4 linked regions of the Lepisosteus oculatus genome follow. The protein of the gene in region 3 purifies or fractionates together with the protein of the main gene of each other region. This does not show direct contact. Links are inferred from orthologs where the notes say so. Each region holds a gene or a part of one and is shown on either strand. Other genes may lie near its edges.

Evidence for each region.
Region 1: the proteins of hdac1 (region 3) and zinc finger protein 609 purify together in Homo sapiens (co-immunoprecipitation; 4 studies listed by BioGRID and IntAct, with this or other methods). This does not show direct contact. The link is inferred for Lepisosteus oculatus from reciprocal best matches to the Homo sapiens genes HDAC1 and ZNF609.
Region 2: the proteins of hdac1 (region 3) and kpna1 purify together in Homo sapiens (affinity purification with mass spectrometry; 3 studies listed by BioGRID and IntAct, with this or other methods). This does not show direct contact. The link is inferred for Lepisosteus oculatus from reciprocal best matches to the Homo sapiens genes HDAC1 and KPNA1.
Region 4: the proteins of hdac1 (region 3) and bcl11aa purify together in Homo sapiens (affinity purification with mass spectrometry; 5 studies listed by BioGRID and IntAct, counting the BioPlex papers as one, with this or other methods). This does not show direct contact. The link is inferred for Lepisosteus oculatus from reciprocal best matches to the Homo sapiens genes HDAC1 and BCL11A.

The regions. Positions count from the first base shown.
Region 1 is NC_090700.1:60,139,095-60,146,309, forward strand, and holds the start of zinc finger protein 609, read right to left. Parts: upstream 3,021-7,215; 5' UTR 2,546-3,020; intron 1-2,545. UniProt on the Homo sapiens protein: Transcription factor, which activates RAG1, and possibly RAG2, transcription. Through the regulation of RAG1/2 expression, may regulate thymocyte maturation.
Region 2 is NC_090700.1:4,265,997-4,273,728, forward strand, and holds the start of kpna1 (importin subunit alpha-5), read right to left. Parts: upstream 3,003-7,732; 5' UTR 2,810-3,002; intron 1,003-2,809; 5' UTR 995-1,002; coding exon 869-994; intron 1-868. UniProt on the Homo sapiens protein: Functions in nuclear protein import as an adapter protein for nuclear receptor KPNB1. Binds specifically and directly to substrates containing either a simple or bipartite NLS motif.
Region 3 is NC_090706.1:3,430,505-3,438,454, reverse strand, and holds the start of hdac1 (histone deacetylase 1), read right to left. Parts: upstream 3,009-7,950; 5' UTR 2,946-3,008; coding exon 2,897-2,945; intron 849-2,896; coding exon 736-848; intron 69-735; coding exon 1-68. Other genes in the region: tyrosine-protein kinase Lck, read right to left, coding at 7,695-7,900. UniProt on the Homo sapiens protein: Histone deacetylase that catalyzes the deacetylation of lysine residues on the N-terminal part of the core histones (H2A, H2B, H3 and H4).
Region 4 is NC_090712.1:9,969,514-9,976,826, forward strand, and holds the start of bcl11aa (BCL11 transcription factor A a), read left to right. Parts: upstream 1-4,312; 5' UTR 4,313-4,609; coding exon 4,610-4,664; intron 4,665-5,139; exon of another isoform or gene 5,140-5,269; intron 5,270-5,300; exon of another isoform or gene 5,301-5,534; intron 5,535-5,990; exon of another isoform or gene 5,991-6,426; intron 6,427-7,313. UniProt on the Homo sapiens protein: Transcription factor. Associated with the BAF SWI/SNF chromatin remodeling complex. Binds to the 5'-TGACCA-3' sequence motif in regulatory regions of target genes, including a distal promoter of the HBG1 hemoglobin subunit gamma-1 gene.

The sequences.
Region 1 (7,215 bases), on a different chromosome or scaffold from region 3:
CATGTTAAGGGCAAAGACAAAGTCTATGTAAAGTCTAACATGTAAAATGCAAACATATGTACAGCACAAGAGGAAACCACTGTAGTTAACTATTTCATCATACATCTTCTTAAGTGACCATAGAAGTCAAACCGTCAGGCAGCAGCTATATGACAACCAATAAGACAAAACTAGACATTTCTGAACAAAGTACACATTTTCTGTTGGGACTTAAACCCAATGGGCAAGAAAAAATACAGGTTGACAGGGAGAATCTGTTAAAGATATAGGCCTTCAATACCAAAGATGTGTAATATAAACAGACAATTCTCAAAGGGTCTGGCTATGCCCAGCATTTACACAGCGCTTCAGATTTCAAAGGACCTCAAAGTGCTTCAGACATGGGGGTGACCCACATCATCCACTGAACTGAGCACTCACCTGCTGGCCTTCTGGCAGCCATTATGCCCTCACAGCATAGAGCAGAAGTGAGAAATTACATCAACTGAACCACAGGGGACATTTAGGGAGGTCATATTGTTCAGGACCAAGTGGAATACAGCCACTGCACTAGGATTAGAACCCTGCTCTTGGGAACAGTGCAGTGGGACCTTTCCTTAAATTAAACTGTTTAAGGATAATCCCTTCTCTCCAACCATTTTAATCAGCAGATCTATGGTCTTGAATACATCAATTATGATTTTATATCAGAGTGTGGCTTTCAACAGAGAGCAATAGGACACTTCTGTTAACTGGGGGTGTTTAAAATGCCTTAAATATTAATTCTGTGCTAGCACATCATCCTTCCCAATGCAACCGAACGTAATACTTAAGATATATACTTGTGTCAAGCATATACTAATACCTGACACAATAACAACATTATAGAAATATGGGAAAGTACTGAAGGCTTTCTTATTAAAATAATTAACAAGGGAACTCCATTCAATTCGAACACTGACAAAACAGCATCATACACTTAATAAACCCTTCCTGAATCGTCCCCAATTCACATTCCATTTCACTTTGACCAAATTAAAAGCTTACTGGATGACTCCAGGCAAATTAAAATAATGTGGGTATGTTCTCAAAGTCATTCTTCACTCATTCACACTTTTAGAAACTAGATTTATAGTCTTATTACAAAATTCAACACCAAAACAGGAATTGGGGATTTATAACTTGGTCTTTGTCGAATTATTATATTTTACATTTTTGTGGAGATGCAGTTACAACTGTCCTCAATGGACAACCGTTTGATAATCGACCACTTAGCACATAAAACCAACCACTTCACTAGAAAACATACATCCATTTTAGGATTTTAAGTAAAAACAGCAGTAATAACTACGTTTTTTCTCAATAAATTGTGCCGAGTCCTATAATCACTTTTTACGGTCCCCAACTGGCTCTCTTACACTCAAGTATCACATGGTGGATTCATACGTGCTAAATGTAATTACAATCAAGGCCTCAAACATATAAACCGTTGCAATATACATATTTTTTTTAAGTTTACTTTCGCTTTCGAGAAAGGTGAGGTACAATTTCACACACCAAGAAAACCAAGAGACCCCTCGGATGAAAACTGCGCCAGGGTTGCCGACGCCAGTTCAAGCACATAATCTGGGCACATCATGTAGACAGTGTCCATTGTGCACTGCGCTGCTGCAAACGCCTCCGGAACATGCCCACCAGTGTGTGACCAACGAGGTTAAACATTAGGCACAGGCCCCAGATGCAATTCGCAAATCTCTGGATTCTTGTCGTTGAGCTTTTTAGCGACGCTGAAGAAGACTCTTTGCAAAGGAAAAGTGAGGGGGGAGGAGGACGAAACCTCCTGTGAATAATTTCAAATGTGAGAAATGACCGCGTTTTTCCTGTACAAAAGAATGAACCCCCGACTAGTGTGCCATAAATGCACATCGGCGCAAGAGCCTAATGAAAAGGCCGAACATGATTACAGAGTAGATAAAATTACACCTCTGGGGACTATCCCGCTCTGTAAAACTAAAATTTGATTATCTAAGAAGCGCTGGGCTTTGAGACTCAAAACCCTTGATAGAAACAGGAAACTCCTGTGATTCGAAATGGTTTAAAAACACAAAGCCCTCTCGGTGTGCTCTACCCAATCTATGTACTTTTCTCACTAAATATGCCATTCTGAAAAGGTGTAAGTAATGCCTTCAAAGACAGCTTTATTCTACATGGTTACGTGAAACAGTTCAGAGCGAACGCACATGCAATTACATATTAATTTCAGAAAGACCGCTGGTGATTCTAAATCAGTACTTCATGCTGGATGGCTTGGGAGACGAGCGTGAAATTAAATTGTTTATTTCTCCAATCCCCAGAAAGAAAGAAAAACACACTTCCTGAGCCGTCGTTCTGTTTTAGTCGGCAGCCGTATTGGGTGGGGAGAAAAGGTTAAGGAATCTGCTGTAATTCGGAGTTAAGGATAAAAATCCACTGTTGGAGTCTCCCAGACAAAGGGCTTTCGGCAAGCATGCAGTTGTGAATACCTCCCGCATTAAGAAAAAAAGACCCGAAAAATTCCAGCACTTACCCACTTGAGCACCCCGATCCCACGAATATTTAAGTACACTCCATAGATCCAGAAAGTTGGGGGTCGGGGAGGGGGGGGGGGTGGGAAAAATGCGAGGAACACCGATTTATTCAAAATAAACAGACAAAATAAATCAATAGAACTCCCAAGAAATCCAACAGCAGGGGAAGGAAAGGCCAGTTCACTGGACTGCTGCCATCACACGTTGAATCCCGTTCAAAACTGAAAAATACCGGCTAAAACGGGCATTTTTAGGGTCGATCGCGAGCCCGATTCGAGTTATATAACGTCTCCTCCGGTCCCGGGAAGTAAAATCCAGTTTTCTGCCGGTTTTCGCACCAGTTTAAAATCCCCCGATTCTGTTTCTCTGTATCTCTAATATATCTTGATGGCTGTTTGTATCTTTCAATGCTGGGAGATTGATACAATGTAACCAACAAGCAGAACGAGGCGCACGCAAGCTCAGGCACGGACTCCGCACGGACTGGACCGCGACCACGAGGACCGTCGCTAAGAACCGGAACTGGACTCTCTCCAGTTGTGGACTGGCGAGTTTTACTCAGCTCGCCAGTCACTTGCATTTGATAAAACCCATGTGTTCTCATTAATGAAGCCGGTGTGTTCATGGATGGTTTTTAAATCGTAACAGAAGCAGTACTAAATGCGAGTTTTCCATTTCCTAAGCGTTCAACATTTTTACAACTGTTGGTAAATGTATTATACCGAATAAAGTAGTACAGTATTACGAATATTACGTGTTACACAAGGCAAATGTGAGGAGCTATAAATACAAAAGCATAGCATACGTAACCCCGGGACTAATTTATGTACATAAAAAACTTGCACTTTTTGTTGAACCTGATACAACTTGACATTATAAGATATAGCAGTTCAGGTGGGTAGCTGCGTCAGCATGCGTAGTCTGCAAAGGAACAAGTAACAGGTTTATTCCCTGCTGAAAAAAAGAAGAAAGAAAACACAACGTTTCGGCCGTGGAGCCTTCTTCCGAAGAAGGCTCCACGGCCGAAACATTGTCTTTTTTTTCAGCATGGAATAAACCTGTTACTTGTTCCTTTGCATTATAAGATATAGCCAGAAACAAGTAAACTCACAAAAATACATTGAAAACTGCTGAGTTTACGAATAATGAAAGTATACAAAGACAAAAATCTAAGCCTCAACATTAATACACTTATTGGTATTTTTGAAATACGGAACTACGTCTCAAGGTAAACTGTTAAAGTTGCATTTTGTATTTTTTATTTCAACAACACAAAACCCAAGCGTCCACTGCTTGTTTTCATTGAATGTTATGTACCCATTATATTAAAAACATTTATTATTGTTGAATAAAGTAAATTTAAATGCTCAATACTACCATTTTACACATTGCATACAACCCGTTTATATATAACTGGGGTATATAACAGTATATATTATATTAATGTTTTAATGGGTTTAGAGCTAATCAGGTAAATTAATTTGCACAGTTTTCTTCAGTCAAAAGGCAAGGATTGGGTTATAAAACTACATCGAGTGGCGTGTATAAAAATGGATTTTATAAAGAAGGCGTATCTCACCAGCCTAGAAAAACGTACAGGCCCACTAGAACCGGTATGAACCAAATTTAAAAGTACAGAATAATTGTTATGTAGTAGCCCTTGCTGTACTAAAAACGACACGTAGTTCACGACACTTACCAACGGTTCAGCTTGTGACTTGGACAGCCGAACGGACCTGACTGTTTCAAACGCGGAACCGAGGAAGCGTCGATCAAACGGTTCAAACGGTGGAGATCTAGAATCTCCAATTCATCTCGAAAACTGTTTTCGGACGCACCTTTCATTTCTCACTGCTTCCCAGGCTCACACTGCGATGAGAGAGATATATATATATACATTCCTCTACAGTTAACAATTCGCTATATATCCCCGCAAGTTTCAAACAGTGTATAAAATATAGCGTGATTCGTTTGTGGTTTGTGAAACCTAGAGCAAAAATAAACCTATCTGGGAACTCAAGGCAACACGAAGCCAGATTCTGTTTCATTTTCTTTGCACTGTACTCGCGTTTCCCTTCCAGTTTGGCGTGAGCAGTGTAGTTCATTTTGACTCGGTTGTACATGTACGATTGCTGCTTGTATTGACACGCAAGGGGCCTTCTTTTCCCATTTATAAATCGTACATTATAAGGGCGACTGTTTAACCAAACACATTTAATTACTCCGGAGAAGTAACAGGAGAATGCTAACAAAACAATATACAGTCCGCTAGTGAAACTAAGAGGAAAGGAGTCTCCGTGGCAGTTTCTTACAACTCAGATTTTAATAACCAGATATGAAGCACAGTTCCTGTCAAAATATCTCTCAGGGCACTTCTTTTTAATGCTATCTGCGTCTGAAGTCATCACCATCAGCGTCTACAGGTCTAATTTAGATAAAAAAGCATTCAGTGGGAGTTTAAGCTAAAAGTACATGCCACTCTTATTATAATGTTGCCCTTGGGATTCTCACATTTGATGTCTATATCCTTTTCAGGAGCACACAGACTGAGGCCCTCATTAACTGTCAGACCCAGATGTGGAAGTTTGTCACAAGGCCCTGTGATTTATTAATGAATCGAAAGGCATTTGATTTCCCCTGTACCTGCAGCACCTTAGCCATCACAAACGCAAACCAGATTATTCTAGTTCATATACTTGTGTCTAAAACGTATTTACACTATAATGGCCGTGTTTACGGCTTTGTGTGTCAGGCTACTGTTCCTTTGGCTGAAATGTCCAAAACAGAACTGTAATGTAATTCGTACTGGATTTTAATTTTTTGTGGTTCATCATCCTTGGCTGGCTTCAAACATTCAAGTGTCAAATTCTTCAGAAAGCAAACCACCGATGAGACGAATCAGCTGCTGCCAGACTAAGATTTTCTCCGTCCCTGAACGCATTCAAAACAGGAAAGATGGGCTCCAGGCCTAGGATTAGACTGCAACATCAGTCCAACGGAATAATCGTGAAACATTTGCTGTTTTAACAGACATATTTCTGTGCTTGCTCTGAAACAACAAGCCGCACATCTGCCTACCACATCCTCAGTGCTCCAACTTGAGGGATTCTTCCCTTGTGGACACAGGGTCTCAAAGTCTTACACACACTACTGCATTATTAATCTCACCGATTTTCCAATCGAATTCTAGAGACGTCAGATGTATTATGTTGTCACTAAAGAACTGCAATGGCTGCTGCCTTTTTGTGGTTCCAAAAATTGCCTCAAATCCATATCAGATGAGTCTGCTTAACCACTATACTATATAAAATATATGACAGTCCCAATAGAAGATAAGACAAGGGAATTAAAAATCAGATCCTCCACATCTTAGTGGCTACTGACGGTTCAGGGAAGCAGGCTTGTGAATCTTTTCCATGAACTTACCATGTGAACTGTAGAGGACATTTGCACTCTCCGGTTTTAAAGAGGTCTGGATAAATCAAAACATACAGCAGCAGATGACAGCAATTTGGTATTTTTAACAAAGATTTCAGTATTTTGCCCTCCTCTCCATTCCAGAACCTTCAGCTGTCTTAAAACATGGGCCTGAGCCCACTCTGCATGCAGTCTGCTGTCATCCAAGTCAGACGCGAGGCGAACACGAGGGGAAAATCGCCGTTCTCTCATTCTGAAGAGCAGTTAAAGCTTCTTCTTGTGTGAAGCTCATCTTTATGTCAGAGCATCAAGAGGTTTATGTAAGCCTTAAATAAAGGCCTGACCTCAGCTGACTGGCTTCCTAAACAATAATGTGGAACAAAATATCTCAGTGGTTAGTGTAATAAATGGATTCAAGCAGAAATAAAGAGAGTGCATGGTATTTATGAGTCTCCATGAAGGAATCTCCAGACAGCAGTTCGGATGAAATACTACTGTATGTAAATGTCCCATGCCTGTTTTTCTTCTATTTTTAAATCACAGTGCCATTACACAATGTTTTTCTTGAGGGCTCCACTACGGACAATGAGAAGGCTATTAACACAGTCAATAATAGTTGACACTATTATATGGCAGAAACTCTGTCTTGGATGTTATACTTGTTGTCAGTCCAGAGGGGTGTCCTTGGTTGTGTTTTCAAGAAAGATGGTGCTCTGGGAATTTCCTGGTTTGAGTTAGACACGCTGACAAGTCCAATTCCCAGATCTGAGTCCCTCCACTCAGTTCCAGGCTACAAATTTCTTCTATCATTTCACTGCAAGTCTGGATGGATGGACTGCATAGCAAAATATGTGTCATAAATACTGGAGTTGAAGTGTTACATTAACAGGGAGAGTCAATTGCCAGCCTATTCTGAGTGTAAAATACTTGCATGGACTATTTTTAAGCCCAATTCCACATTCACTAGTAAACCTGGGAAGAAAGTCAGAGATCTGCCTCAGGGGGAATCTCTCCTCCCCAGTGCATTAGCAAAACAACACATTGAATGTCTTGTCGCATATGCAACAGTTTGGATTCCCTATCGAAATGGCATGACTGGAACTGTGTATCCTCTCCCTTCCCTAATTGCCTGTCAAATGGCCTCTGTGAAGAAGCATTCTCTTATGCAATAATTGATTAATGTAATCCAGGCCCCAGGTCTCCTGTCTGTCCTCACTGGCTGCACTGGAATGTGCAGGTTGGATTTCCTGCT
Region 2 (7,732 bases), on a different chromosome or scaffold from region 3:
GTCCAGCACCAACCACACAGCAGCACTGACCACACACACCAGTCCAGCACCAACCACACAGCAGCACTGACTACACACACCAGTCCAGCACCAGTACTGACCACACACACCAGTCCAGCACCAGTACTGACCACACAGCAGCACTGACCACACACACCAGTCCAGCACCAACCACACAGCAGCACTGACTACACACACCAGTCCAGCACCAGTACTGACCACACACACCAGCCCAGCACCAGTACTGACCACACACACCAGCCCAGCACCAGTACTGACCACACACCATCACAGCACCAGTTACTGACCACACGCATCAGCCCAGCACCACTACTGACCACATACCAGCACTGACCACACACACCAGCCCAGCACCATTACTGACCACATACCAGCACTGACCACACACACCAGCCCAGCACCAGCACTGTCCACACACCATCACAGCACCAGTTACTGACCACACACATCAGCCCAGCACCACTACTGACCACCCACACCAGCCCAGCACCAGTACTGACCACACACACCAGCCCAGCACCAGTACTGACCACATACCAGCACTGACCACACACACCAGTCCAGCACCAAACAGCCACTGATATTCTGCATGCGGTTTTCTACAAGGGGCCATATCCAACCGCAAGAACAGAGTAACTATGCTTGCAGGCTTCTAGTGAACAGCTGCTAATTCAGATTTGTCCCTGAAGAACAGAAGAGGAGGCTCTTTACCCCATCTAGCCCAGTGGGCTAACCTAACTGCAGCAGGTTACAGGCTATAACTGACAGCCCCTGAGAGTAAACCGAAGGCAGCGCTGAGCTGCGCATTTTTCGGGTGGCCCCCCGCAGCCCCCGGTTACAGGCCCACCTGTTCGTCTTTCTTCTGTTTCCGGAGCTGCAGGCCTTCCTCCTCCCTCCTCCTCCTCATCTCCTCGGGGTTCAGGGACTTGTTCTTGTAGCTCTTCAGCCGCACGTTGTCCCTTCCCGAGCTCATCCTGGCGTCTGCACACAGACAGGGGCCCAGAGGTTAGTCCCTGCTTCTCTGGCGGGGCAGCCCAGAGGGAAAGAGAGAGACGCGCAGGGATATCCCATCATCCCAGCTCCTGCAAGCCCCCGCAGAGTGGCCGCTTGTCCTGGCTGGAGCTAACGACTGCAGAGAGGGCAAGGGTCACAGCCGGGGTTCGGGCTGGGATCGTTAGTGCCTTGGACCCATCTAGCCCCTCTGGCGGTAGCTGAAGGACCCGAGGACCTCGTGCAGCTGTTTCTAGGAAGAAACCAGGGTACTGTCTTCAACAGCATGGTCAACAGCTGCTTGTTCCCCACTCCCACCACCCTGCGGTGTAAAGAAGCCCCTCCTGTTCTCGGTGTTAAATGCTCAGAAGGGGAAACACTGCTGGTCCTGCACTCCTGGAGCGCCAGGTTTCAGAAAACAAATGTAAAAAGCCACGTGCTTCTAGTCACAGTGGAAGGCCTCCCCTTCACCGCTGAGCACCAGCAGGCTCACCAGCAAATCGAACCCCCTGGTCTCAGACCTGCCTGGGAGCTGTCTGAGACTCCTCCCGATGTGCCCGAAAAACACAAGCGGACTCTTTGCCAGCAGTCTACCAGCGGGTAGAGTAAACAGCCTTACCCAGTGACCCGCCCTGACAGTGTTTACAGTGGATCTGTTAACGCTTCTGCTTATAACATACCCCAGCACTGATTAGTATTACCGGAGCTAACTGGGACTTTTAATTTTAAGGGGACTTTAAGTGAGCATTTATGAACGTGCAGGTGGACGGCGGCCTTCAACGCCAAGGGCTCATCTGATTATCACGACGTGTGACGACGGATCTCTGACGTCACGGGGTTCTACCCTGGGTGCGAACGCGCTCGCGAGACCCCCCCCCCGGGGTCTCCCCGACCTTCTCCTGCCGCTCGCTGTCAGCCGATATCACAGGAGCTCGTATCAGCCGAGAGGTTCGTGTCACCTCCAGTGTTTTGCCACACCTCTGCCACCGGAACACGGCGTCTTCGGCCTGCGCGCTGGGGAGAACGAGCTGCATCACGACACACTGGGAAACCTACACGCACTGGGACGCACAGCCCAGCCCAGCAACTGAAAGATACTGAAGGCTTTGCAGCAGATTGGTGGCTTGAGATGAGTTGTTGTTGTTGTTGTTGTTTTCCATGACTGGAACAGAAAGGGACACCCCATATAATGACAGCATGTGTCAGGAGGTTGTTTCTCGGAGAGAGAGAGAGAAAAACAACCCGGCCAGTTTTGTAGGTCATTTCCTTAAACCCCCCCAATTGCTACACACTGGGGGACTGCTGCGCTCCGGCCGCCGGAGCAGGCGGTGAGTTCAGAGACCGGCTGAAATGTCACCCCCAACACCTGGTAGCGCTCCAGGGGTACAGCCAGCCACCCCCCGGTACATGACATGCGAGAACAGAAATCCGGCTGGAGCAACAAGCACCGGACTTTCTCCGCTAAATGCGATACGGCCGATTCCGTCGGTGCAGATGTAACACCGGCGAACGAAGTGCCAGTGCCGCCGAGCCCGGCCAGCGTTGGTCCGGATAAAACGTGCCAGCGGCGTGTCTGAGGTCTTTACTATGACCGGCAAAACGGCGGATGACGGCAGTGCACCGAGGTTTTGTAACTGTACCCGTAACTGTGCAGATCTGATATATTATACAGTCGTGCACTGCGAATGGCCCACTTTCAGAAAACACGGGGCGAGTGTGTCTCGGAGAAACCAAAAGCAAACGCTGACCTTATCCTAACGTGGACTCCACCGTGTCATAACACAATAGTCATACTTACATGGATGTCTCGACGTGTTTTTCGTTTCAAATACTGTGTGATCCGGCTACGGTTCGGAAAGTCCGCACTCCAAATCTACCTTCTCTCCTCTTTACCCACCCCCGTCGATGACCTGACTCAGGCGCTTCGGCTTTTTGTAAAAAAAAAAAATTTTCTCCCTAAAATTCAACGTCCTGCCAGGCCGCTTCCAGCTACCGGTGTGCCAGTGCGCATGCTCGCCCAGCCTACTTCCTCCTTCTCCCCCCCCCCCCCTCCACCGTGTCTGCTGGCGCGCATGCGTACGACACACAGCCCCCACCCCAGTGAGGTTTCCACGCCTGCGGAGTGCGACCCAGACTAAGCTCTTCATTGAGTGTGGCTGCCCGGTGTACCTCCTCCAAAGCCGGACGTTTTACAATGCGTAGGCGCCATCGCAGCATGATAGCTACAGAGTATTACAGAACGCAAGATTATTTCACGGCATCTCTGCATTTCTCATTTACCTGAATTCCTGCTGGAGGTCAGTGAATGAGGCATGTATTTGGTCATCTTCCTGTTTCTCTGACCTTCCCTGGTTTGACACCCAGGAGAATTTAGCCCTCTGCCTCCTGCATCAACTTCAGCAAAATAGCAAAAATAGTTAATAAGAACCTATTTTGCTCTTATTTATTCTACCTGACGTAGGTTCAGTGGAGGCAACCCAGAAATGATCTAATAAAGAGGCACGCACACACACCGCTACATCTCGACTGCAAATAAACACCTGGAAAATTCTCTCCACTCCGACGCCTGGATCGCCACGTTCTGTCCCAGGATGAGCTCTATCACCAGGCGGCCTGAGCAGACCCTGTCCGAGGAGGGAAGCAGGATTGTGGATCGTCGCTGTTTCTGTCATAAACACACCGAGGAAGTAACACTACAGATTGTTTTAATAACACGGTTTCAGTTTTAATGTGTATTTTCCATAGACACATCTTTAACAGCTGTAATTTCCTACCCTGGTAACCTCAAATTAACCACTATTGGTGGTGAAGGCACCGAAGAGTAGGCACCATACCTTCAGCAAGGGGGGGCAGGAAGGAAACTTACAGGGGCGGAGCGGTGGCTCTGTGTCTGTGGCTGGAAGGTTGCTGGTTCATATCCCACGACTGGCAGAGGAATCCTACTCCGTTGGGCCCCTGAGCAAGGCCCTTAACCCCAACTGCTCCAGGGGCGCCGTATAAATGGCTGACCCTGCGCTCTGACCCCCAGCTTCTCTCCCTGTCTGTGTGTCTCATGGAGAGCAAGCTGGGGTCTGCAAAAAGACACATTCCTAATGCAAGAAATTGTATATGGCTAATAAAGTGATCTTATCTGATCTCACAGGCAGGGCTCATTGATGTCCTTGATTTGTTTTTAAAAACATCCAAACAAATACAGCGCTTAAAAAAGATCCTTGTGAGTTAGGTTGTGAGAATGCAGTCCTCATCAGCTGCATTCTCAAAAGCATTGAACTCTGTATCTGGCTTGAAGATTGACTTTTTGCCTGGCATGCAAAGTTAAGAGTACTGATGTCCTTTAAGCGGGTAGAGGATGCACTTGTGTGAACTGAGCACAGAAACCGCTGGGATGCTTGGCTTGTTAAAAGGTTCACTGCTGTCCCCACCTCTGCTTTGTAGAAAACTGCTGCAGGTGCAAAGGCAGAATGATAGTGATGAGGATTTTGCACAGTGATCATGATAAGTGAATGACAGTGAGAAAGGGTTTGCGCAGTGATTGTGATAAGTGAGTGATAGTAATGAGGGATTTGCACAGTGATAGTGTTAGAGGCTGGTTGTGCAGAAATACAACCCATACACACAATGTTCTGTTTTGTGCTGCTAGAACTCTGACTTAACCAGGTTAGTGAGTTCAGAAAGCGCTAATGAATTATGCAGAATGTTGCCTTTTCTGGAATCCTGGGGAAATTGTAGGGTGCTTAGAACTAATCTGATGCTGTAGATGGAAGCAAGCCTTCATTTCTCTGTGCCTTCAAACCCGGGGTCTGTAATTTTAGTCTTTGCTGCTGGGAAGCCTGGGAGGGACACAGGAGAGGTGAGAATGTATAAATACGCAGACAGAAGGGGGAAAGGGAGAGAGGAGAGAGAGCAAGAGACTGACAACCATACAGAGAGCTCGGTCTGTCACCTGGGCACAATGAGAAGACTGGTTCTGTTGCTCCTGGTGATTGCTCTGCTGCTCTGGGATGCAGGTAGGACACTGCAGTTGGCAGACCAGGCTGAGGTCGCCTGAGCTGAGTGATTCGTCTGTTTATAGTTAGTGGGCAGATTAGACGCATTTTAAAAGCCCAGTCCCTTCTTTCAAATAATTAAACTGAATAAGCACAGTCATAGCAGAATCCTTCATTAGAACATTAGCAAAAAATAAAGCTAATTTTTTTTGTTTGCTTGGGTGTTTCTCAACATTTGCATTTTTATACAAAAAGTTGTATTCTATATTCTGGTCGCTTGCAGATTAGAATGGTGTATGTTTTGCAATAATATTATTTATGGTACCTGAAAGTTTCAGGTTGTTGCACAACGCTAAGGTATGCGTATACGTAATCTGACAACTGGAATCAATTTCCTGTCGTAAAACTCTGTTTTTTTTTATTTTTTATTAACCATTGAGTGTGTGTGTACTGCAGTTAGCATGTAGTGCATTTTTCCTCATGAGAGTGCATTTAGTTAGTGCACGCACTGAGGCACTGATAAAGGACTCCCCTCTCCCACCTGCATCACCCTCTCTCTCCAGAGGCAAAGCGCAAAGGAAGCAGCCGACACAAGTCAAAGAGCAAGACAAAGGTATCAAAGGCCGTCAAGGAAATTGCAAGAGCACTAGGTGAGCTCTAAGCATTTTGTTTCACAGGTTTCCCATATTCTGTAGGTCTCCTTCAATTATCCATAGCACAAGACTTTGAAAAGAGTTAGCTAACATGAGGCATAATTGGTCCAGTTTAACTCTCCTGCAACAGGTCTGAAGCTGCTGATGTGGTTTAAGAATCCTAAAAGTAAAAAAACGCTGGAGTGTGACATTCCAGGACCAGATCTGGAGACACCCTTTCTGGGTCGAGACAACGCTTTCTGATATGGGTACAGTTTCTCCTGCATCCTGGCTCAAGCATCTGACGGTTTATATCAGATATATTCCCTGTTTCTTCTAGACATCCACAGGGAATTATGGTTTTCACCATGCCAGAGATCTTAATGACCTAGATTACTTAATTATTGAATTAATTTATCTAAATTACACCGTTGCCAGCTCTTTGGTCACAGAAGATTGCGAGTTTTTGCTTTCTGTCTGTTTAATTTATTCAAAGAGATTTGTCTCCAGACAACAGTATGTGTGAGTATACAGGTGCAGACATACTTAGACATTTAATATTCTCATTTATGCTTTTCTCTAATGTGAACTTGACTGGTCAGAGGAAAATAAAAAAGAGCAAATCGTGCTCTAGCAATACTCTGTGAAAATACCTGACAGACGTGTTTATTCTTGAGCAGTTGTCCCTCTCCATGATCCACACACTGTCATTATACTAATTACGATCATTAGGAGCCCTCTCCAGTAAGAGCAGGATACTCCTTGCGTTCCACAGCCCTGTAAACACCTCTCTGTCACTCAGGGCTACTCCTCCCCAGCACAGTGACACGTGGAGAGAGTCCTGAACAGGACGCAGTCTCATCCAGCCATTTCTTAAAGAAGCCAGCTTGTTGCCATGAGAATTATGTCATGTAAATCATCTAACAATTGGTATTCCCTTTCCAGATCCACAGGGTGTTTTGAATCCCACTAATAAAAACGACAAAACCAAAGACCTGGGTAAGTTGGGTCGATCTGACAGGACCCTTTCCTTACTTTCCACTGGTCTTTGCCTTCCACTGAGTGTCACATGAAACAAAATACCCTGTAGGATAAGTGGAACAAAAGAAGCATCTAATGAGAGTTTAGAGGCAAAATGGTTGCATATTTCTAAAAAAGAGCATTGTTCAGGACTTCTTTAGGAAAGATCCAGCATAACACCTTTCGGAAGCCTACATTTCCTGTAAAAATTGTATACTGTATGTGTGAATATGAGCTGTCCATAACAGGTCAGAAGCAAAGCAACCTCAAAGAGTGTTGTCAGTCTGAGTGCAGCGTCTACAAGCAGATCGCCATTAACCTAATGTGAAGCCTTGTTAATTCAGTGTCATTACCTGTGGGTGCTAATTTCCTTTTTCAGAACATTGTCACTGGCTCTAATGCTTTTCTAGAAAATTATAAGTTCTATTATGAACTACTGATCTTTAAAATATCTATTTTTTCTTTTAGCTAAAATTGCTGAAGAAACCATTGTAAATGAGCAAGTCCGCTGTAAGTACAGATAAAACTAAATATGTTCAGAAATCATAATCATTCATTACCAACATTTCTGACTCAGTTTTTACTTCTCTTCCTGTCTAGTTACGACCCAATGTAAGTCCAGCCTTTTTACTTCTTATTTTTAAAATGTCTTTTTAGAAATAAGTGTTTGTTGCACTTAATTCATTAATTCATACACATGGTGATGCTTTGATCTTTTCTGCAGTTACCAGCTGGCTTCATAAAGCTGTGGATGTTGGTAAGAGATTTATTCTGAAACACTTTGTATCAGCTTATGTATGATGAGTGTATCTGCACAGAGATCACTAGATATCGCGCAGTGTGCCAGAGAAGAGATAGATTATGTGAGAACTGATCAGTTACCAGAGTCAGGAATCACTCAGTCTTCTGGCAACTGTCCACCCTGAGACCTGATTCATTAAACTGAATCTGTTTATTTTAATTGTTATTAGTCAACTGATTCTAGTCAAAACCATCAATTCGTCCATCTTCTAACTGCTTCATCTAATTCAGGGTCATGGGGCAGCAGGAGTCTGTGTGTAGGCTAGCGTCCACCCTAGACAG
Region 3 (7,950 bases):
CTCAGGAACTTGATGTAGTCGTCGCTGTGGTACTTGGTCATCTCCTCGGCGTTCGCCTTGTGCGGACGCTAAGGAGACAGGGGAACGGGAACGTGAACACACGGAAAGAAGCCGCACTTCCCAAAATCCCGACAGGGTCGTCCTGGGACCAGGACCCTTGCAGCCCATCCATGTCAACAGCCTTCCCTTACTTCCTTCGGTGTCCCAGATGGGAAACGTGCTTTCCTGCCAAATAAAAGGAGGTACTCTTTGTGTTACATTTAGTCCATTAAGAAATAAAAAAAAAACATACATAAGATTAAATACCAAGTCTGAAACTTTATGAAACTCTCGCAACTGAGGAACATTGATGGTCATCAGTGAGTGAAAAAGATACACATGATGAATATTGAACATAACAAATAACTAAACCTAAAGAGGCATCATGGGAACACTATGAATGCTTGAACATGACAACAGTACCAGATTATTTACTCTTTTAACAAGGCATCATGGACAGCCACTACAATTTGCTCCCTCGAAAACCCTGTAGTTTGAGGTCTGTTTGGCAAATATTTTAATACTTCACCATATTATTTATTCCTATCTCATTACCGGAGCACAAACAGAAACCCTAAATAAACACACAACTGGCACAACTGGAACAGGGACGGGACAGGGTTTATAAGTTACTAATGCATGCAGCAACATTATCCTGAGAGTAAAAGAGAGAGAGAGAAACACTCTCGTACTTACATAAATTTCCATCTTCCTGTACAGCCCATAGTTCAGGAGCAAGTTGTGGGTCATCCGGATTCGGTGTGGCTTCATGGGGTGACCCTGACCGTAGTAATAGTTCCCAACATCCCCTACGAGGGCAGGGAAGATGGGAAGGAGCTGCATTAGAATTGCTTTGGCATTCGCGAAACCAACAGCAACATAAACAAAAGCATTCATCTTCAAAATCCAGATTCCTCAACAATGTGCCAGTCAAACAAATGTATCTACTTTGAAACGATCTAGGAGATGAACACTGGTATGTTGGAGGACCAGAAAACGTTACAGACCATACACTGAGAACAGTAATTAAAACCACAAATAAAGTTTTACGAGCTTAGAGCACTACCACAAATGAATACATGACGATAAAAAAAACCTGTCTTGAACAGAGAACACTACTGTACTCGAATCAAAGGCTGAATATACTCAAAGGCACTGACACCATCATCCTAAAGGACATCTTCAAAATGAGCAGTGAAACACCACCCAGAGGTCACACGCGGAAGTGCATAGCAAACTCAGATAGGAGGCTGTCTTACTTTACATCAAGAGTTGTGGGAGTGCACAACAAGCTACCAAGTCATACTGCTGATGCCGAAACCCTGGTTTCTTTCAAGAAACAGCTGAATAAGGACATTGGATCAATTAGCTACCAACCAGAGAAAGGACTAGATGGGCAGATCGGCCTTCGTTTATAATGTATCCACGATGAACTCCACTGGACCAAAACCTACATTTTATGGCAACGTTCAGAATTAACCAAGCGCCACAAGTTTTACAGTCAGCACCACGATCGTACATATGACACAAGCTAAACCCTCAGAGGACATCAAACTACCACCTCTGTGTACACTTATCATCTGTGCTCAAAGAAAGGCAAAACACTGCTCTTAAAAAGATAGGTGCACCCTCCAAAAAGGTGCTGGGTTAGTATCAGGAATAGTTATAAGCAACACAAGGTACATACCACAATCTTTGCGTGTTTATTAATGCGATGGATCCTAACCAGACTGCTGCCTGAAGATTTTACTGATCGTTTTTTTGTTCTCTTACACCCCTCAGCAAACTGCTAAAAACCTGCTTCTTCAGAAGAGCCTTTTTCTGAACTGGCTCTGATCTTCACCCCTCTGCTCCTACAGACTTTACTGCCCCTCTCATTGTGCATGTTCTGTATTATTGCCATAAAAACGAACCAACCTCCCGAGATAAAAAAAAAGGTGCATCTTTGGAGAAACTAAAGGAACGATTTAAGCAACTTGCTGTTGCTCGGTGGTTGCAAGGCCAGCTGCCCTGGCATGACTATTACAGGCTCGGAGGAGCGAGTCCACCCATGGCGGTCCGTGCGTGTCAAGCCACACCGGGCGACAGGGCCGAGGGGGCAAGGCGCCCCCACACAGCGAGCCCACGCAGGAGCCCCTCTCCGGCGGGGAGATGCCTGATGGAGGGGCCACTTCAGCCCTGTCTAGAGGGGGGGGGGGGGGCTGGTGTCAAACGAGCACAAGGGAGAGGAAGACCTCGCTCCCCCGCCTTGACGCATCCCGCCGCCCCGCTGCAAATCGATTCACAGCGGCTGCATCCACCGCCGGGGAAAAAACAAAAAACAAAACAAAAAAAACCCCGCACAGCATCAATAATTAAGCCTCTTTTTTCACTCCCCGGGTGTGCGGCATGTCGACCCCTCCGGGGCGGTAAAAATAAATAAATAAAAGGGACGCAGCAGCCCGTCTTTTTACCGACTCAGGTAACCCGGTCGCCGGGGGGAGACGGGCGACTTCGGGATTATTATGATGGCCAGTATGACGCGGGACTGGGGGGGAAGAAAACCAGCATGCAAACGCTGGAAAAGCCGCCGGAGACCACTGTGCATCGATAATTCAAATTTAGACCCCGCTTCAACTTATCCTGGCCATGATTTTAACTACGTTGCCCGGCAGCCCTCTTACTGCGGGAAGGAGGGGGTACGAGATGCTGCATGGCTCTATGAGCGCTTGGCCGGCGGACTCACCCCCCCCTCCTCCTCCCCCCAAAAAAAGGCTTTAAAAGAGACGATAAACGCAGCCCTCCCGGCGAATATCTCCGTGCGTGCACGTTACGCCGGCCGGGTTTTAGGAAAATACAACTTAAACTTTACCCTTACCGTCATAATAATAACAAACTTTTTTCTTTGTTCCTTGAGTCAGCGCCATTTTACCTCCAGACACAGCCACGGCCTGTCTACCGGGCGCTACGCAGCCCTAGCCACAACCGGGAACCTGGATTGACACCGCTGGAGCCAATCAGAGACTAGCTCGGACCGTAGCGGGCGGCCGTCTTTCCCCCTTTTGTCCAATCGCGTCCTTCGCAGGCGAATGGGTTATCCGCCCCTCTACAGAAGATAAACAAGGGTATGAAACTGTGTTTCTTTGAGCGCCATCTTGGCTCCGGTTATCCGTCCAGTTCAACCCTAAAGCGGTGTTCTCCGTGGGATCCAAAATGGCCCCAGTTTCAAAATGTCCAATATTCGGAAATCTCATTTTTACTTCAGGACTGTACCATTGTGGTTTAGTGTCCAGGGCGGCAGGGGTAACAATAAAATCGAATTAGACCAAAATAAATTTAAAAATATTTATATGATAAGATAAGTTTATATTTTTGGCGCTAATTCGTTTTAAGGGGTCACTTAATACTGTTTTTACATTGCGCTACGTTCATGGTATGAACCAGGTAGCTACGTGCAGAAAGCCAGCCTTATTTTTTAGGCTTGGAACTGGTGTTTGTAATGACTGGTTAGTAATATCACAAAATACCCAGTGTCACTTGTTAAATATTACTTTTGAGTGACATGAAAGTTCCAAATAATTTTCTGTTGGCTTCACTATGGCATTGCTTGGAAAGTCACCTGATGTGTGGTATACTAATCTAAATAAGAGGTTACTATTTGGGCCCCAGACTCTGGACTGAAGGCTATTGGGTTAAATCTTGGGGTGTATCTCAATTAATGTTTTACTAATTAAATAACTGTTTAGATAAAAAAAAAATCAGTGTCGTATGTTGGACCACAATATTTTCTCTCTATATTGTAACACGAAGGGCTTGGCAAGGATGGAGACGAGAACTCAGGCTCTTTTAGCACAAACAGTCAGCGCTTTGTTAGTCGAATGGCTGTCCAGTTCAGCAACAACCACACAAGAGCTAAAGCACGACAAAGCAGGTTACACCACACGGGGGTCATTTCAGGTACAGGTACGTGGGTAGTTATAGGGTGGTCAGTGGGCACAGGTATAAAAGGGGTTCAGAACTGGGGAATAACTATTTTACAGTGATTTCACACAGTGTACAGCCGTTCCGGATGGTCAGCGGCGCTGGCCCGAGGCCCCCTATCAATCAATCAATCAATCAATCAATCAAAGTTTATTCATCAAATGCACAACAATACAGCATGCAGCAGTAGTTGCTGGCAATGAAATGTCTTTTCTACGAGCTCACTGGGGGGGGGGGAGGGTTTAAAAATCACAAAATTAAAGTTACAAAATAAGGTTACATTATAATAGTGCAATAGAAATCGCATTAAATATAATATAAATTATGATATTATATATAAATAGAGCTGCGATGTGCCCAGGGTGTATGCAGTACATTATATCAAAGTAGTGCAGTATGCCGAATACAATGAAAACTGTGTGTCCATGTAGCCATTCCGGGTGATCTGCTGAAGGAGCTGCTGCTTGGCTATTTAGCAGCCTCATTGCCTGGAGGTAGAGGGTGTTGTGTAATCCCTAGTCCCTGCCCTGGCTGTTATTCCCGTCCTGCCCTTCATCGCACACTTTAGCCAGGCGAGGGCACCACAATATCAACTTCAAAATCCTCGTGCTCACCTATACGACTCTACACGGCTTGGCACCTCAGGAAATGTCTGACTTCTCATCTTCCCCCTTCCCGCCTCGCAACCTTTATTTGTCTTAATTCTGGTCTCCTGTCCGTTTCCAAGCCCGTGTACATATTGTGGGTGACAGGGCCTTCTCCTGCTTTGCCCTGAAGCTCTGGAATTCTGTCCCCAAGGATGTCAGAGAGTCCCCTTCCCTGAGCCCTTTCACACCCAGACTCAGCATCTTCTCCTTCAGAAGGGCTTTTATTTGACTGGCTCTGCATCTGCCCCTTTGTCTTCTTCCTACTACTACTACAATAATAAATCTTCCGCGTAACCGCTGTGAACAGAGGCTACTGGTGCCTCAACATCCTGCACAGGAGCGGAAGTACCAGAGCAGTGTATGAGGGAGAAAAGGTGAGGAACGTTCACAGAAGTGATGTAGATAAACAACCCTATGATGATGCCTCAAGGTCGGGCAGGAGCAAATGGGGTGACTATCTGGACTCTGACAGGTTTTGTTTTAGAATACTTTATTGGCCATATACAATTTATTTTATTAGGAATTTGTCTTTTCACATACCCCAGCTTGCTCTCCATGAGAAGTTTGGGGTCAGAGCGCAGGGTCAGCCATTTTATACAGCACCCCTGGAGCAGTTGGGGTGAAGGGCCTTGCTCAGGGGCCAAACAGCACTGGATTCCTCTGCCAGTCATGGGATATGAACCAGAAACCTTCCAGCCACAGGCGCAGATCCCGAGCCACAGAGCCACAGCTCTGCCCTCAGAATTTGCTGATAGGCTCATCCTCATGGGCTCGACCACTGCAGCAGCTTCACATTGACCTGTCCTGGAACCCGTTCAAGTGCTCAGTTCGGCAGACCTGAATTCGTCTTTGACGCATCTGAAGTTCATGTTATGAAAGTGTCTCTTTCCTCGTGTGCATCTCTCTCGATCTGATACAGAGCAGCTAATGCACGCTGTTGTCTTTTCCAGACTTGTTTATAGTGTCGTGCATTCTGCTGCATCCAAACATTTTCTCAACAACCTGTAATATCTTCAGAATGAAGCTGTTCAGACCCTGAATTAAAATTAAAATACAGACCTTAGCTTCCACGCACTGGCTCCCTGCCGATTTCTGAAGATAATTGAAATGCTGCTGCTTACTTTTTGGGGCTTGAGTGGTTTAGCTCCTGGCTGCGTCTGTAAGTCGTTTGAGCTCCTCGGACTCTGACCTTCTTTTAGTTTCCAAAACAAGGCTCCAATTCCTGGATAACTCTGGGAAACTGAGCTCCTTTGCTCCAGGACTGTGGAATGATCTTCCAACCCATGTCAGCTCTTCAGAGTCGATCGGCACTCCCATCGTCTCTTAAAACGTATTTTTACACCTCTATGTTTCTAATTCTAATAATAAATACTGCTGCATTTCTATTGCAATTGGTATACTGGTTCTACCGCAGCATTTTGACATAGCCATTGGTCATCTCATCAGCAACGTATCTCCAGCTTGCTTAAAACCGCAACAGATCATGCAATGCAAGATGAGGCTGTAAACAGTGCAACATATAATCTAGTGTAAAACATAATTTAGTAAATGTTAAGAGTTTTGAGTTTTAAAAATAATGATGCGTTTCACAGGCGAGAGGGTGAAAGGTCGTTGTGACGGCACAGGAACGAGAAGAGAGGTTCAGGCGGGCTGCTGAGAGAGTAAGCGTTTAAGCGATCTGAGGAGTTAAGGTCATCGATTTGTACTTCCGAGGGAAGAGTATTCTGCCTCCGTCGTTTATTCTTCTCCATTATAACGGCACATGATCGTGAGAAGGAGCCGCCGGCGGCGGACAGGTGTTGCGCTACCGAAACGGTCTGGTGAGTGGCTGTAACGCGCCCGCCTTCTAGAGAGAAAAAGTACGTCCCCACGACTGCACAGCATATATACCTAGAACATCAGCCGCTTACAATAGTGACGTGACTCCCCAGAGCGGCCACGTCTTGTCCTCGGGGTCGCAAAGCTCGCCTTTCACTGAAGTGGACTTGACACCCGTCTAGACCCTGCAGATCGGGACCAAGGGGTTGTGTGGGTTGGTGGTGTCAACGTGGGGGTCAGACTAGATACTTGACACAACGTCTCCGAGTTCTTTTACTTCCAGATCCACGTGAAATCACAGCGTGCTGTTGTTAGTGTTCGAAAGCACATAAGAAAAACAGCAGTCGGCCCTTCAGTGAACGTCTTGGTGTACCTATGTGATGATTAATGACAGCGCCTTAAGGGTCCATGTGTTTGGTGCTGTGCCACATACGCTGAAATTAACTGCTTCTCCGGAAACTCATTTTATTCCTATGTTTTGAACAGTGAGCAACTCTCATTGCACTGACGTCTCTACAATTCCAACTACAAGTTTTCTTCTTTTAAAAATTAATCCGATGAAAATATTGTCCTATGTAGTTTCTTAACGAGCTCCGTTTCTGCATAACAGTTCGAGTGACACCTGGTACAGTCACAAATATGTTTATTGCACAGAGACATTTATTTCCTAATATTTTATTTGATAATTATTTGGATACACAAACACAGAGGCATTATGTGCCAATGTGTTACAGAAAAAGCAAGACCATGAGACATCTAAGCACAAAGGTTGGTAACAGTATAGCTGTAATCCAACATATGAATATTTCTATAATCAAAAATGCCAGTAAAAACAAAAAAGTAAATGTAATCCTAAATACTCTGCGATAGTATTAACACTAACGCTTTTGGAGACAGTGAAAACTTGTGGTTTACAAACGGGAATGAAGTTTTTTCCTTCAATTTCCCTTCGGGCGGGAGTGAAAAAAACAACAAAATGTTAAAAAAGCGCAACAAAGCGTTGCAACGAAGATACATAGAAATCAGAAACTCTGTACACCCAAAACCTGTAGGAAAAGCGGAAGGCTTTTCTAGGACATGAGTCTTAGATTACCGTCTCTCCTCCCTGCAAAAAACGTTTCACAGAACATTTCAAAAAAGAAAAAAAAAACAACAAAACAACAAAAGAGACCCAAGCGCCTCGCGGGCCGGGGTGTTCCGAAGGCGCTGGGCTGGTGCCGCGCCGCGCGCTCAGCTGGGCTGCTGCTGGTACTGGGCCTCGGTGGCCGTGAAGAAGTCCTCCAGCACGCTCTTGAGGTACTCGAAGGTGGGCCGGTCCTCGGGGCTCTCCTGCCAGCAGCGCTTCATCACGCTGTAGAGCTCCTCGGGGCAATTGTCGGGCTGCGGCATCCTGTAGCCGCGCTCCAGGTTCTGGATCACCTCCGGGTTGGTCATTCCTGCGGCAGACAGGGGGGTCAGGGGTCAGCGGAGTGTGTGTGTGTGTGTG
Region 4 (7,313 bases), on a different chromosome or scaffold from region 3:
ATAGAGGCACCCATCGGGGCTTCTCACAATCAAATCTAATACAAAAGCCGGTCGCAGAACGAAATCGCTTCATCTGAATGCTAAAATTGTTATTAGGGTACATTAGGAGGAAGCCACGCACGTGATTGGAAAAATCCTTGCAATTTGTGATTGAAATAGAACCTATTAGTTGTTGATTGGATAGCAACAAAGTTAAGTGCTCTTTTATGGCCCTGATTAAGAAACGGAATTTGAGCCACAGGACCGTATTATCGTTCATAATAGTTTTTTTTAATTTTTCAGCTTTAACATCATATGGTTGCCATTGGGTATTAATTCTTGTAGGCTAATCCTTCCCTTAAAGTAGACAAATTATGAGTCAATTCCAATACCTTAAGCTCCTCTGTCGTTTAAAACGGCGTTAAAAGGTAAACGCCTTAAATTAACGATGGCACAGTGTTTTATTAATCTTAGAGAATCGTTATATGATTATATAATAAATCAAGTAAACACAGGATTGTGTAATGCATAATGAATCAGGACAACACGTTTTTGAAACAACAAATGGATTGATTGCCTCAGGTACATTATCGTATGTATAATATCAAACTATTACATGTAGTGTTAAAATGCATCAGGCTGGGCAAGCTGGTGTCACCTCACAGATGCAGGTAAGATTAAACAGACCACTTCAGTAAGTTGCTTGGTAGATGTCAACCTTAATTTCTTGATGCATATATATATGGAAAATAATCTAATGCTTGTTCTATTTTTACCCCTATATGTAACTCTTAGGTGTCTGTACACCTTCAATAAAAACAGTACATTGCACATAAAAACAACACACACACACAATTTACATAATCAACTTGACAGAGTCTAGTTCATTGTTTGGAGGAATGTGCAATGACACCTGAAATGCATTGATTATGTTTATTGTCAACTTCATAAATTAATACAATTCTTGATCTTTAACCATTTCCCATTTCATTCCTTTAAAGTAGGGACACCCCTTTGAGCTTGTCAACACAAACACTTTCTGAAAGTTGCATTGTTCTTTACAAAATCAGCAATAAAGCTGTAATCTGTCGCAATATAATCTCACTGCCTATTAAAAAGCAAAAGCACCTTTTCACATCAAATCACCCGGGCAATTGTTTCCGTTTGGGAAATTACAGAACTACAGGCAACAAATGTCTGACAATTTTATGGAAACCAGATTGACCCTTGGAGTCCCTAACTAGCAATCTGTCCAATTCCTAAATACTAGAAGTTAAAAGCGTGACAAAAATCAAGAGTAGTCAAAAGCTTAAATTTAGAGGATGGGGGGTGGGACTCATACGGTATATGCTACTGAAGTTAAAGTGAAAAAGAAATGCCACTTTTAGAAAAATATTACCAGACTGCATCCGGGTATCTTCTTCACTGTCACAACAGACTTGTGCACAAATGTCATGACAAAACACAAAGGCAATACTTCAGTAATTGAATCCGTGACGGGTATAAGACAAATCCTATACCAGAACAATTAATTTGTATAAATCTGAAGAGTTGTCTGGTCTCTGTGGAATATAACTCAGTTGTCATTTCAGACTGTTTTGCAGTTAAGAACCCCAAAAAAACCCATTAGGTGTTCAAAGAGCTTAAAGAGAATATATCTGGTGTTTGCATGGCATTTAGCTTTTCTGTAACCTCTAGATGAAAGTTGTTTCACGAAGAAAGGCACTGCATTTTAAATTAAATTATGTTACTAAACACCCCATCAAATCCAGTTTGTCTATATGAAATACCTAACATGAAATGTATGTGGGCCCTCTTTTTATGAACACAAAGGGTTAAAGGGAGATGCATTACCAGCATACCAAACGTTTACGTACAATTTTATTTAAGGACTCTATGAGAGATAAGTTTATTAGATATTCATTATTCATACCAGTAATGCCCTTTAAGTGTTGCAGCATATATTTTACTCAATATTCATCACACACTCACATAAAGAATACATAAAATCAGAAATATATCGATTAGCTATAGACTTTTACTGAGATGTATTATATATTAGAAAGACGTTGCACTCTCGTTAACATTGCGCCCATGCAATAAATCAACATAACACGACCGTTTTCTGCAAAAAATGATCAACACCCACTTTAAATTGCTACTAAGTTTCTTAAGTGTTTCTTATATAAAGTATGACTAAACGCAAGAGCTGTGTGGTCAAGTATGTCATATCTACTTATATATTATAATAAAGGATTATTATTAATTATGCTTCAGCCCATGTTTAACGCACATTACCAAGTTAAACGTTAAATACACTAAAACATTGAATCACATTTAATTAACAAATAGTGGGTATATACTGTATATATAAAACAGGTTAGTATAAGCACGATCGTTTGGTCAGATAGAACTGCCTTACAAACCCTCTGCAACATTTCAAAGAAAGAATATTGCATTTTTGCAGAAAAGTAACCTTAACTCAAGTGTACGTATTAAATTAAGTTAAGCACTCATATTTACAGTATGTTTAGGGACCTCCGATAAGCGTAAGATATTAACACTTTAGCCTAGACAGCAGGACTCAACTAGCATATACTGTTTATACATAAAAACTAGTCAGTGTCCCATTTACTTTAATTTAAAAATAAAGAATAATTTCATACCACATCGAAATGAGTTCTTGGCAGCTGCAAGACATTACATGCTTGATTTAAGGGGACACAGAACCCCTTTTAGAAAGAATAGCCTGCACCGATATTTAAGTAGGTCGTTTTCTCTGAAACTGTTCTAAAAGCTGTTCTTAAAACCCTCTAGATTAGGCTTTCTCATTTCTGAGATTTCGTATCGTATGTTTCGTACATGTTTATTAATATCAGCCTGCTTTGTAGCCCGTATTTTGCAAGAAGGCTCATATTCAGGTAGCTTTTCCTGACACCGAGACGTTAATACTCCCTTTGAAACCGCCAGTACGAACCAGGTCTACGCGCAATCTTACTCTTTACTCAGTAGACTACGTTCTCATTTTTAATATTCGTAGACGGCATTTACAACTTTCCCCGTCGTATCCCCATAACACATATTTATATACTCTCCTATCTTCATAATCTCCAAACTTTAGCTTTCCATATTCATAAATCTTCAAAAAGAAACCCAGGACTTGTTTGACAAATACCGGTAAATAAACTAACCTTGACCGGCAAATATTTTCCCCCACTGCTGAGATTTTTCTCCGATGCTCAACTTCCTCTCCGATCCTTTCTTTCTCTATTTTCCCATTCATTTTTACCCCATCCCCTTTGTATCCTGTCTCAGAATCCGCGTCTAGCTCACGTTTTCATTCCACTTCGCTCTTGTGATTCACTTGTGCAGCCGCTAGTCTTAGTACTTTTTATTAGTTTGCATGGCTATTTCTCCTACCCACTTCATACACAGTTCATGTCATCGCTTTTGTTTTCTGCCTGGTGTCTCTTCTAGTATAAGCTGTCATTATTTAGTCTCCGCTCTTTGGGAGGCGTTTTGTTCTTTTCCTAAATCGATTTCCGCGAGTGTCTGTGTTTTTCTCTCCCCCTTTTCGTCTCCCAGCCCTTTGTTGGAACATACTCATCGACCCACCGCAGATCTTTTTGGACATTTGCATCCTCTCCCAATTTTCGTTCACAGCCCACCTTTACCTGCTTTAACCCCTATTGCATCACATGTTTATTTCAAACTTAGTTCGTTCACTCCCCCACCGTCGCCGTGTGTCAGACTTTACACTTCGGTTTAAAAAAAAAAAAGAAGCCGCTTAATTTCTTAACCCTCTTTTGATCTTTGCTGTTTTTTTTTCTACTCCTAGTCCTCCTTTACTTTTACCCTGCTGCGAAACCTGTCTGTCCCATACAGACAACCTGCTAATAATATCTTAAGTTCTGTTTCGTTTCTTAGCTCAGTGGTCGCTGTGCTCCTTGGCTACTGACACACACGAGGTGGTCTAGCTGTGTGACCACGAACTTATTTTTCACTGTGTTTCCGTGCCCAGATCCCTGATCAATGTCCACTGCGACAGCTTACATTAGACGGGGTTTTTTTTTTCCCTTCACTGCCATATGTCCAGCCCCCTGATCCCTTGTCCATTGGCTTTTCTTGGTCTATTTTTTTCACGTCCAGCCCCCTGATCAATGCCCACTGCTTTCACTAGACAGCTTTTTTTTTCCCTCTTGTGCCTCTTGTCCGGCCCCCTTGATCTCTCTGTCCATTGGCTTCTCCGGGTCTATTTTTCATGTCCAGCCCCTAATGAGTGTCCATTGGTTTTGTTATTTCCATTCCCTCCTCCTACTCTCTGTCTTTGCCCTGCCCATGTTTTGTATGTCTGTGTCCATCCATCTCCTGACGTTCAAGTTCGCAGGGACGTCACGTCCGCACTTGAACTTGCAGCTCAGGGGGGCTTTTGCCATTTTTTTTCATCTCTCTCTCTCTTTTCAAAAAAGCCATGACGGCTATCCCACAATCCATCTTCCCTGCGCCATCTTTGTATTATTTCTAATTTATTTTGGATGTCAAAGGCATTGATGAAGATATTTTCTCTGGAGTCTCCTTTCTAACCCGGCTCTCCCGATGTGAACCGAGCTCAAAGCCACCACCAAGCACCATGTCTCGCCGTAAGCAAGGCAAACCCCAGCACTTAAGCAAACGGGAATTTTCGCGTAAGTAGAACAAAATTGTAATTTACACCCTTTTCTTCACTTTTTCCAGCAACAGTCTTTAATTTCCTGCAGTAAAGAAGAGAAACAGTGACCAGGAGCAAAAATCTTGGTGAAGGTGGTGCTGGACATTGGACACCGAAGATCGCGGTCAAGTGGACTTCACAAAAAAAAGCGTGGCGAGATTTCTTTTGCACCCAGAAATGCCAATACGAAATGCGGTTTTCTTAAAACTTAAGCAGAAAAAAAGTTTTTATTTTTTTGCATTCAGCTTTTTGAATCCGGAGCACTTTTACAATAAGATTTTCTAGCGTGCTTAAGATATGCCTTTCGTACCCCTTGTGCTTAAGCCGCTAAAGGGCATAGGGTAGGAAGGCGATTGTAATAGGTATGCATGCTTTATCATATTTATTATTTCTAGTGGAAGCCCCTGTAACACTGTCTGTTTACTGCCTGGAGAGGATTTCCCTCCTCTCGTACTATTTTTTGGAAGATTTTCAAAAAAGTGGAAGTGGATTTTGATTGGGAAAAATCTCGTGTCTGACTGTTTACAAGCACCGCGTGTGCGGAACCTCCTGCCAACAACATCGAAAGGGGAAAAAAAAAGAGTAATATTCGCTTAATTTTCTTTCGAAAGCTGCGTAGACCGCTGTCAAACGGATGGATTTGTAATCTAAAAGCTTTATGTGCACTACTTGAGAAAGATTGCTCTTAGATTCGACTCTAGTTGTTTTAGGGGACGGCTTTATAAAGAGGAACAGGAACCCCGGCTTACTCTTCTTTTCGATTAAATATTTTCCCCCTTTTTACACATAGATTTTTGGATCGACTGTTATGTTTATTTTACTTTAACGTAAAAGGGAAACTCGCAAGGTAAGGTAAAATAAAATGTATGCATGCGAGTCAGAACAGTTGAGTTGCCTCTTTCTGTTTTCGTTTCTGCTTTTCATAGATGCAAAAAGTAATCATTTTGCAGACTTGCGCGGCGTATATAGCACATTATCGTCTGGGCTCTGCATGTGTTCAGGGATATTTAAGTTCGCCACGTTTGTTTTTGCGTGTGGATACGTTTTTTAAAGCTTTATTGGAAACGAAGGCGACACACTGTTTAAAACCGTCCAACATTTGGCAAACGCAGTAAGCAAGCGTATTTGGGACCCCGAGAGATCGGAATTCGCGATTGAATGAATGAAATGTTATGTTTTACATCTTTATTCACAAAGATCTGTAAACCTTGCGTTTTAACGACTCGAATCTTGCGAGAACGATTCCGTAATGTTCCTTGTTCAAGACACATTAGTGTTAAAGCGAGCCGTTTGTCTAAGTTGCATTGAAGTATTGCTTTGTGTGACGGTTCTGTCGCTAGGAGGCAGAAGATGATCATAAACTGGAAATGAACTTGAACCTGATCAATTTCACCGCCACCTCAATCTACATATCCTGACGATATGTTTGGAATAAAAAGGAAATACATAATACGCAGGTTATAGCTTCTTTTTTCCCACCCACTTTATATCTTATTTTAAGTAAATTAAACTCGTATAAATGACGAGACACCGTCGATCATTCAAATGATTTCTAATTTACTGGATATCTTTTTTTTTTTTACTTTTGGTACCCTTTCACAATCATGAAAATGAAAAGGAGCTTTAATTTAGTAATTGAAAGCCACGCGTATTTTCAACATTTTCTGTAACGCATCAACTTATAAATAATAAGCTTTAGTATGCACAGAGGTTTCAGGCATTAAGACTCTCCATTTAAGGTTAGTATTTTATGATTTATTATTGTTGTCCACCTCGTTCATTACATACCTTAGCTCGTAAGCATTTTTCTGTACTTTGAGTTTAATACGTGTATGAAACTTACGTATTTTTTACACTTATTATATAGAATAATATACTATTATATTGAGAGTATTCTAATTTTCGTTTGAAGACAGGAAATCAAAATGGAAAAACTATAAAATGTCCTTGTGTGGCGTGTTTCCTTTAGATCCACGTGTTTCAGTATTAAATCATCAGGAAAGTCGTATTACCTCCTCTCTTAAGATATTCAGGGGAGCTAAGGCTAAGAAATTTATGTGGAATTTAGGTGGAATTTATTATACAGTTGTATAGTTTTTAATTAAAAAAAATTTCAGGCATGCAAACTAACAATGAAATGTTCAAAAGGTAATTTTAAATGAAGCCCTTTTAATTGTGTGCAGGTTTTGTGTCTTTCCTATATTTCTAGCAACGAAGATCCAGTTCCTCACAGCAAGCTACTTTGTTGAAAGTATTCTGAATCAAAGCAACATTTTCGCTTGTTACGTTAGAAGTAATCGCAAGACGTTTTCAAAAACACGTGAAATCAGTGAACTGTAAAAATGTATGCTCAATATTAGTAAAATATGGAGCAAAAACACAATGTTGCTATCCAGTTTTCCTGGATTTCATTATTTCTGCCACTTTTAATAAATATTTTAAGTATACATTAAATTGTTTGACAAAGGCTACTGAGTGTATTCTTGGAGACAGTTGTTTTTAAAAGAAAATACAATGATAAAACAGTTTTGTCCTGTTAGAGAGATTGTTTTTATATACATGGTGGGCAGGCAAAAAACTTTCAAAAAATGTTTCCCCCGAGTAATGTAAACATAAGAAAGTGGCA